2 linked regions of the Coturnix japonica genome follow. The protein of the gene in region 1 interacts with the protein of each later gene in a biochemical or structural test. Links are inferred from orthologs where the notes say so. Each region holds a gene or a part of one and is shown in the gene's direction. Other genes may lie near its edges.

What was found.
Region 2: the proteins of NMUR1 (region 1) and NMU form a complex in vitro, tested with the Homo sapiens proteins (2 studies listed by BioGRID). The link is inferred for Coturnix japonica from reciprocal best matches to the Homo sapiens genes NMUR1 and NMU.

The regions. Positions count from the first base shown.
Region 1 is NC_029524.1:13,329,957-13,334,387, reverse strand, and holds the start of NMUR1 (neuromedin-U receptor 1), read left to right. Parts: upstream 1-1,410; 5' UTR 1,411-2,741; intron 2,742-3,184; 5' UTR 3,185-3,186; coding exon 3,187-4,081; intron 4,082-4,431. UniProt on the Homo sapiens protein: Receptor for the neuromedin-U and neuromedin-S neuropeptides.
Region 2 is NC_029519.1:58,656,413-58,660,759, forward strand, and holds the start of NMU (neuromedin-U), read left to right. Parts: upstream 1-1,441; 5' UTR 1,442-1,446; coding exon 1,447-1,666; intron 1,667-3,263; coding exon 3,264-3,322; intron 3,323-4,347.

The DNA.
Region 1 (4,431 bases):
AATGCAGAGCTGCTGCGAGTGAGGGCTGGGGAGAGGCCGTCCCTGCTTCTCAATGCTCATTTCTCTGCTTTGGTGACTCACACGGGAGAAGGTTTGGAAAGGAATAAATAGAGCCCATAAAGTGTCTCGCTGATGCTTGGGAGGATGCCCTGGGTCTGTGCTCTGTCTCAATGATCCAGAGGAGGTCGTGCTGGAGCGGAGTGATGCCCAAAACACTGTGGGTTGGGCAGCACGTTCTTGGCTGATGGAATGCTCCCTGGGATCAGAACCAAGAGCCCTTTACCAAGAGCAGCTCTCGAGCATCACTGGTGCTCAGTGATGTCATGGGCCTTCTCCCTTTCCTGCCTATGGCTGAGTGCATCCCCAAGTCCTGTTGGAGCCCTGTAAGAGCCCTGCTCTCCTGCCAGGTGCAGAGGCACTTGTCTGTGCCGGCCCTGATTAGCAGAATGATGGTTGCCATGGAGCCCCAGTTACTGCTCTGCACCCCAGTAGACCCAGGGGGGAGGAACACGTGGAGTAGAGGCCAATTGCACTCTTCCCAGAAAGCTGATTGCTTTTATCCCAGCCGACATCTCAATGGGCCTTTCATTCATTTCCTTTCTACTTTCAGTCCGAGGTTTGGGAGGAAAAAAAGAACTGTCCCCTCCTGGGATCTCAAAGATGGGCTGGGAGAAGCTCATGGGGTGACCTGGGGCAGAGCATCCCGAGTGCTGTCCTGCATTCCATAGGATCCCACATCACTTCGGGGCTTACAGTGTCCCCTGGCGGTCATGGGGACAGTCCGGGAGAGATGCTCCTTATAATCTGTATCAGCCAGGTAGGGTTAATGCAGTCAAGTGCCTGACAAGGGGAATGGGATGGAGAGCCGTTCCCCATACACAGCTCCTCCTCTTTATGGAGCAGTAATGGAACAGGAGTTGCCATCTTCCGATGATTTCATTCATCAGAAAATTGGAAAGCGGAATGGATTGCTCTGAAGTGCTGCTGGGCCCACAGGGGACACTTAGCAGGAAACAAATATTGAGGGGTAAAAATGGGAAGCAGCATGCAGTTGCTGGGAGGCACAAACCCTTCCCAAGAGCTGCAGTGATGGAGAGGTTTTCAGGAATGCTCCCTCTTTGAGGTGGCCTTTGTGGACCCATCATGGATCCATCCCAGCCTTGGGTGTGGATGGGGAGAATGCAGCCCGGGCATCAGCAGGGAGAAAAACCTGTGCCTCCTCCAGGCTAGCAGTGCCCAGATACAGGTGCTGAATGCAGTGAGTTGCACTGGGGCTCAGCCTGGGTTTCAGAGGTAACACAGGACAGGAGGCATAAAGTCTGTCCTGGTAGATCTGTCCTGCCTGCTCTTTTCCATCTCCTCCAAGATCCCTGCTTTGCCTGCTCAAACCCAGCCCTGCTGGATTCTCTCCCAGCTCCATCCTCTTTGTGCACAGCCAGGATGGAACAAAGATGGGATGGACAGAGGAAGGTCCCAAGGATGATAACACCTTTCAAGGTCCTACCTCGAGTGCTGGGTCTCTGGATCACTACCAACCCCTTGACACCCTCAAGGGGACAAAGGGTGATGCTGGCCGTGGGTGCATGTCTTCAGCTGTACAGCCAAAGTGCCATGGAGCCACAGCAGGGCAGAGACCTCAGACTCTACACATTACCTCCTGAGCTTGTGTGGTGGGAGGACAAGGGGAGACCCCTGTTAACTGGAGGCAGCAACACAGTGCAGTTGGAGGCAGGGACGGGGATCCTGGGGGCTGCTGGAACCACCTCCAGAGATGATGATGACCACATATTCAAACGGAGCCACTGGAGCAGGATTCGAGCTGGGTGCTCAGCTGCTCCTCCGGCTGGAAGTTGAGCTGAAACTGACTTGAAGAAGAAGAAGAGGAGGAAAAAAAGAAAAGCACAGACTTTTGGAGAGAGGGGACGGGCAGCCTGTCATGGTGCACGGGGACATGTGAACGCATGGGGTGTGTGGGGGGTGTGCGTGTGCACGTGTCTGCATGCCTGCAGAGCCGGGTTGTTACAGTGCAGAGGACGGGCAGACGGACAAACAGACACACAGGATCGCAGACAGACTGACGGACAGGCAGCAGGAGGGATCCGAGCCCGGCTCATAGCGAGAGCTGATGCCGCGATCGCAGCAGTGATGGGCTCCAGCTCGGGCAGCGCTCCGCAGCCGGCGGTGGGGAGGACCCAGGGGTCGCACATCTGGGAGCCCGGGGACCCCGAGCAGCCGCTGGTTCCGTCTGCGCCCTCCCTGCAGAATTCCGTCCAACTCCGGCCCCCGCGCCCGCTAGTGTCGGCAGAGCAGCGCTGATCGATGCCTCCTTCACTACGCAAATGGCAAATCACCGCGTTGTGAAGGCTGCTGGTGGGGATGGAGACGGCCGTGCTGCCCTCCCCCGGGACTCACTCGAGTCAATGGAGTTTATGACTTTAACGTATTTCCTCTCCCCTCCTGAAGAGCATCTCCTCCGCGGTGCCGCTTTGCCGGTCTGGGCACTGGGTTTGGGGACGAGAGGAAGACCCCTGGGAGCCCCCCGCTGACGGAGGAGAGCAGCAGCTGGCGGAGAGGGGCAGCGGGCTGCCGAGATCTGAGCTCCAAGTGGAAAGCGGGATTCCTTTCTCCTGCCTCTTAAGGCAGCGACGTCTCCATCCCCTCCTTCGCTCCCTCCCCGTCCGACCCTGTCTGACATAGGGGTGCTGGGACCTCATCCTGCCTTCGGAGCTTCCCGGCGAGACGTAAGTTCTTCCTGGGGAGGAGGATGAATTTTCCCCTTGCCTATTTCACCTCTCAGCCCCTCTGCACGGGGAGCTGGAGCTGGGGCAATGCATGATGCGGTCCGGGGTTGGCTTCGGGGCTGTGTCCTGTGGGATAAGTGAAGAGGGGACAGCCCTGCCACAGTGTCCCCACAGCTGGGACAAAGGGACCACAGTCAGGTGAGGGAACTGCCAGGGCTGTTTGTAGATGGGACGTGGGGCAAGGGGAGCTTGGGGTTCCTATAGGGGGAGGTTTGGAAAAATTTGGGTGCTTTCCCAGTGGAAAAGCTTTTGCTGGGGCAGGATGGGGGTGCTGAGTTGTGGTGATCAGCAAAGTCTTGGAACCCCAATGGGAAGAGAGGATCAGGCTCAGGAGCAGCAGAGGGTTTGGGAAAACACCCTGTGAACTGCCACGTCTCCCGCAGCCATGAATCCCTACATCATCTGCTCTGGCCCTGAGCTCCCCCTGCCCCAGCGAGACTTCCCCATGGAGCCCCCCAGCCCCGACCTCTGCAACAGGACTCAGCCTGGTGCTTTATTCGACCCCAAAGATGCCAACCTGACGGAGGAGCAGCTGCGGCATAAATACTTAGGGCCTCGGAGGTCCAACTTCTTCATCCCTGTCTGTGTGATCTACCTGCTGATCTTTGCTGTGGGGGCAGTGGGCAACACACTCACCTGCATCATCATCCTGCGGCACCGCTTCATGAGGACGCCCACAAATTACTACCTGTTCAGTCTGGCTGTGTCCGACCTGCTGGTGCTGCTGCTGGGGATGCCACTGGAGCTGTACGACATGTGGAGCAATTACCCCTTCCTGCTGGGGGCTGAGGGCTGTTACTTCAAAACGCTGCTCTTTGAGGCTGTCTGCTTCGCTTCCATCCTCAACGTCACCGCCCTGAGCGTGGAGCGCTACATTGCTGTGGTGCACCCACTCAAAGCTAAGTATGTGGTGACCAGGAACCACGCCAAGAGGGTCATCATCACCATCTGGGTGGTGTCAGTCATCTGTTCCATCCCCAACACCAGCATCCATGGGCTCCAACCTCTTTATGTGCCTGGCCGGGGCCGTGTGCCTGATTCGGAGATCTGCACTCTGGTGAAGCCACGCTTGATTTACAATCTCATCATCCAGATCACCACCATCGTCTTCTTCTTCCTGCCCATGGGCACCATCAGCATCCTCTACCTGCTCATCGGCCTGCAGCTCAAGAAAGAAAAGATGCTGGAGGCCCTGGGAGCCAAATCCAGTAGTGACAGTGACTATGACAGAGTCCGGAGACAGAAGAAAGTGAAGAGGAGACAGGTCACAAAGATGCTGTGTGAGTCTGAGAACAGGCAAAGCCAATGGGGGTGTTGGAAGGGTGCTGGGAGGAAGCAGAGGTCTTGGTCATCCTTGGTCATCCTGGAGGAAGGTCGTGGGGGCAAAGGCAGAGCTGGTGGCTGTGATCCAAGGGTGGGGTCTGCTTGTGGTGGCTCATCCAGGAGAGCCCTGGGTAAGAAAGGGGAAGGGACAAGGCTGGGGTGGTTAACCTGTCCCTCTGCTAACCCAGATTCCTCTGCCCTACAACCTTGGGGTGTTGTGGTTGTCTCCAGCCCTACTCCTTCCTATGAACATGAGGCTCTGACCTGAGGATCGACCAGAGCACCCCTCTGTCCCACTTCACTCCCA
Region 2 (4,347 bases), on another chromosome or scaffold:
AAACCATTTCCCCTTGCCCTGTCACAAAAGACAGTTTTAATGTTTTCATGCAAGTGGATTCAGCAAAATAGTTCGATGTGCAACGTTAAAACAGATATCACATAAATTCAACCATGCGACCTCTGTGCATTTCTGAAGTCTTCCATCTGAGAAGATACCATTTTTGTGCTGTGCATAAAATGTTATTTGCACCTCAAGGCAGGATAAGAACATTGACTGGGATTAAACTTTCAAATTTATAAAATACTGTCCTTTATTTTCCCATGCAATCTTTTGAACAGTTTAATTAGAAGGTATTAATTAGCAAAATGCACAACAGATTAAATCCCTCCAAAGGCCAAAGCTCAGGGTGCTAATTTATGTATTTGGATTAAGATAGATGAGGGAGTTACCTTTCAGCTCTAATGACTACCAGTTTATGATGATGCCTTCTAAATAAATATCTGTTTTTATTAAGAGAAACCAGAACCAAATGCAGTTCCTTGTTTTGGATTAAAACACCTCTTTTAACTGGGTAGATGTGAATACAATAACAAATACAAAATACAGGCTTTTTAAATTTCTCTTCTGATCCAATAAATAGTATTTCCATCAACACAAGGATTAATTCTGTCTCCACTCACATCAAGAAAAGCTTTGCTATTGAACATGATATAGAAGATCTTCCTATGACAGATACACTGCGCAGCCGGCACCAGCCCAGCACCCTGCTGTGCTTCTTGTGTGCTGGTGGTGCTGCATTGAGTTTTGAATCCTCAGATGGGCTGTACCACCATATCGCTGTGTTCTGCCTCCTGGTGTGGCAGTTCAGGTGTGTGTGCACCTTCCCTGCTGTCATAGGGCTCACCCAGTGTCAAGATAAGAAGCTGATTTCCGCTATGATCGCAAAGTTGGGGCTGTGCAGAGCTTCCTCTGCTGTCATTCTGGGGATTAAATGCAACAGTGCTGCTCCTTCCAGTAAATTCTCTTTCCTTATTAGAAAGAATTGCAGTTCTGCCCTAGAATTGCAATTCTGCCCATGGTGTAGATGGGGAAGCAGAGTCAGCCACAAACACACCTGGCGGCTTCTTTATCACCTGGCTTCATCCTCCTCTCGATTAGAGCTCTCCAGCTGTCAGGTGGGGTTCCAGTTTTAGCATCAGGCAATGCCCGAATCTCACCTCCACCCCCCCTAGTTCGCCTCCACCCCCTCCATCCGCGGCAAGGGGCAGCCGGCCACAGCTGGGGTTGTTCTTTTAAAGCGAAGAGTTTTTTTCCCCGAGGGGTGAGGTGAAGAAGCAAAGACCGTCCGGTTTCCGTCCCGAAGCCGAGCGGGGCCACGCACAGCCGCAGGGGGCCGGGAGCGGGGCTGAGTCACCGGCGGAGCAGAGGGGGTCTGCCCCGGGCGGGGGAGGGAGGCCGGCGGGGCGGGCAGGGCGGCTGACGTGCGCTCCGTGAGTCAGGGTGATGCTCGTCCACGTGTCAGGGAGATTTAAAAAGTTTGTGCAGGGAGCGGGGCACGGACAGCGTTGTGCAGAGCAGGGCACGGCGGCTATGGCACAGCTCTGCCAGCAGCAGCTCCCTGCGGCCATCCCCCCGCGAGGCCCGGGCAGCGGCGGGGGGGTGCCGGGTTCCCCGCTTCTCTTGCTTCTCTTCCTCCTCGCCTCCTCCGTGCGTGTCTGCAAAGGTGAGGAGCATCTTCCCGCAGCCCCATCACCGCAAATCTGGGGGGCGGAGGGGTTACCCCGGCGTCCCCGCGAAACCCAAAGCCTCGCAGCGCTCCGTCGGGCTGCGACGGGGGAGCGGGGTGGGATCCGTGCGGGGGTTGCGGAGGTGCCGAGGCCAGGGCCAGGATGGGGCTCGTCCCTGGACAAGGGTTGGGGTGAGGAGAGGGGCTCCTCCACCTGCCCTGGGGATAACTCTGTCCCGGCCAAACTGCGCTCTGGTAAAGGGGGAAAACGGCTGTAGATCAAACCGATGTGATCGTAGTGGGGATGGACGAAGTTGATCAGCTACTTAAACAGGGAGACCGGTTATCTGTAGTGTCATTGAGAGTGCTGTGTTACACCTGGAAGCCGCTATTTTTATATGAGGGAGCACTCTAAAGTGAGAGCAGCTGATGGGCATTGCAACAAAACACAGTGCCTTGCCCTGCCCGTCCTGCTGTCCCATTCTACGTGCATGAAGTGCTTACACCTTGTGAAGCACTTTACATCACCTGTCGCCGTGCACCGAGCAATTAGTTCTGTTTGCCTGTATTGGGGATGAGCGAGTCACTTTCATCAGGAGCTTTTGTGCTGGGTATTTGTAACGCACCGCATACTGTGTTAGAAATGAATTCTGGAGATGGGGGAGAGAGGAAGGAGGGAAAAGGAGGGTGAGGAAAGGCAGCGACACATCACACTGTGCTCACAGAGATGACTGAAATCGTGCACCTGACACTTGCGAAAGCCCCTGTGTAGGTCCAGCAGTGTTCAGGGTGATGGAGGGATGCTGCTTTGCACTGCTGAGACTGCACCTGCCATCAGAGTTCTGTGAGTGAGCTGAGGAGGGTTAAGGAAACCTATAGGGTAGTGAATCATGGTGCACTCATGGCTACCAAGGCACCAGTCCCAGGCAACGCTCCAAAGTGAACACTCTGAATTAAGAACAGAATACAATGACAGTGAGAACTGTAGCACACTTAATTTATTTGGAGCTGTTCCTTGAACTAAAGCACGCATCAAAAAAGCACAGTTTTCATTGAAAGGCAGTTTTACTGCCATGTAAACCTTGCAGAGATTTCAGAAATAAGCAGTTTCTACGCAGGATGAAGTTAAGACTCCCCTCTATCACTGTTCATGCTGATCTCAAGCCTGTGTCAATACCAAAAGGAGCTTTTGCAACATATCTATTATGCCTGGAAGTTATTCCTGTTGCTATTTGTGCTACTTGGAGATGCCGGGTTCACATCCTGCTCACCTGGCTATTCTCATTAAGACTACCTTCATCCTTTTCTTTGTTTAATTTGGCACAATTATTTGGGGAGAGACAAAAAGCACCAGAGGTAACTATAGACTTTATGGGAGGCTGTAAAATCTCTGCTTACCAGTGACCGGTAAAAACAGAGCATGAACTGGCTGGGTATGGTCACAGACAGCAACCTTGGGCACAGGGATAAACTGGATGACTCCTGGCAAACCTTACCATGCCGAGAGCAGACACGCTTGGGACACGCTGCTTTTAGGATACTCACAAGAATGACCCCTGCTACGCAGTGTTGCTATCGTTGTTTGTGCTTCCAGGTGTTCCGATGCCATCCCAAGCGTTGGAGGCAGAGCAGGAACTGCAGCTGTGGAAGGAGGTGAGCTCTGCGGGCAGGCTGGCTTTGCCAACTGCAGAAAGGCCGTGGCTCTAGGGTGAGGGCTGGGAGCATCCTTGCCAGCTTATCCCTGGTAGGTCAGGGATACAAGTTGAATGCTATTTCTTATTCCAGTCTTTGTTGTGGTCACGCCTTCCCTCTCCATGCTTTCTCTCATATGAAGTTCAGGTGCTTCCAATCCTACTTCTCCCACGTACCTGTTCTGACATTGGTGAAGATGTGAAGCACCTAATTTTCCAGATTTCCGAACAGTATCCAGAGATTTGGTGCTGAGATTTCATGTGGGGAACAGACTGCTTTGGCTCAGCAGAGAGCTCTGTTTGGTGACAGTGATCCTCTAGCTGTCATTGACCAGGAGGTCACTGTTCTTGGAAGCAGCACAGTGTCCCGATCGATACTTTTATAGTTGGTGTATGATAGGCACTGACTGTTTCAGCTCATTCAATCAGTCTCTGGCTTCTTCTGTTCTGCAGACAGGGCTGGGACACAGTATTCAGTCACATCTTAGCATCTTAATTCACAAAGTAGAGGATAACACCCCATTGCAGTTTGCCTTTCTAACATTTTTTACTAACCACAACTATACTTTTAATTCTCATCTCTGAAATTTATTCCATGATGTTACTTGTGTGTTGGCATGAGCTCTTTTGTACCCATTTGGAGCAGATGGAGAATCAGAGCATAACATAGATAGAGGGTTCAGCTTGCAAGTTGTGTGCCCTGCCATTGCTGTAACTTTTCAAGTGTTCTGTTGATATTTAATTTTGTAGCTTCTGATAACATTACAAAGCAAGTGACTCACCCCGGGTACAGCTGCACAGTGTAAATTTCTTCCTTACTGTCAATGCATTTTACAAGTATTGACTCAACCACTGTCATGTTCTTAGCCCGGCACTTGAACAAGTCCTGGTGGTGCTTTGCTCCTGGGAGAAAAATGATCTCTTGGGAGGTAACATCCTAAGAGTTACAAGGAGCTTGTGAAAATGAGTTATTCCAGACTGAAAATA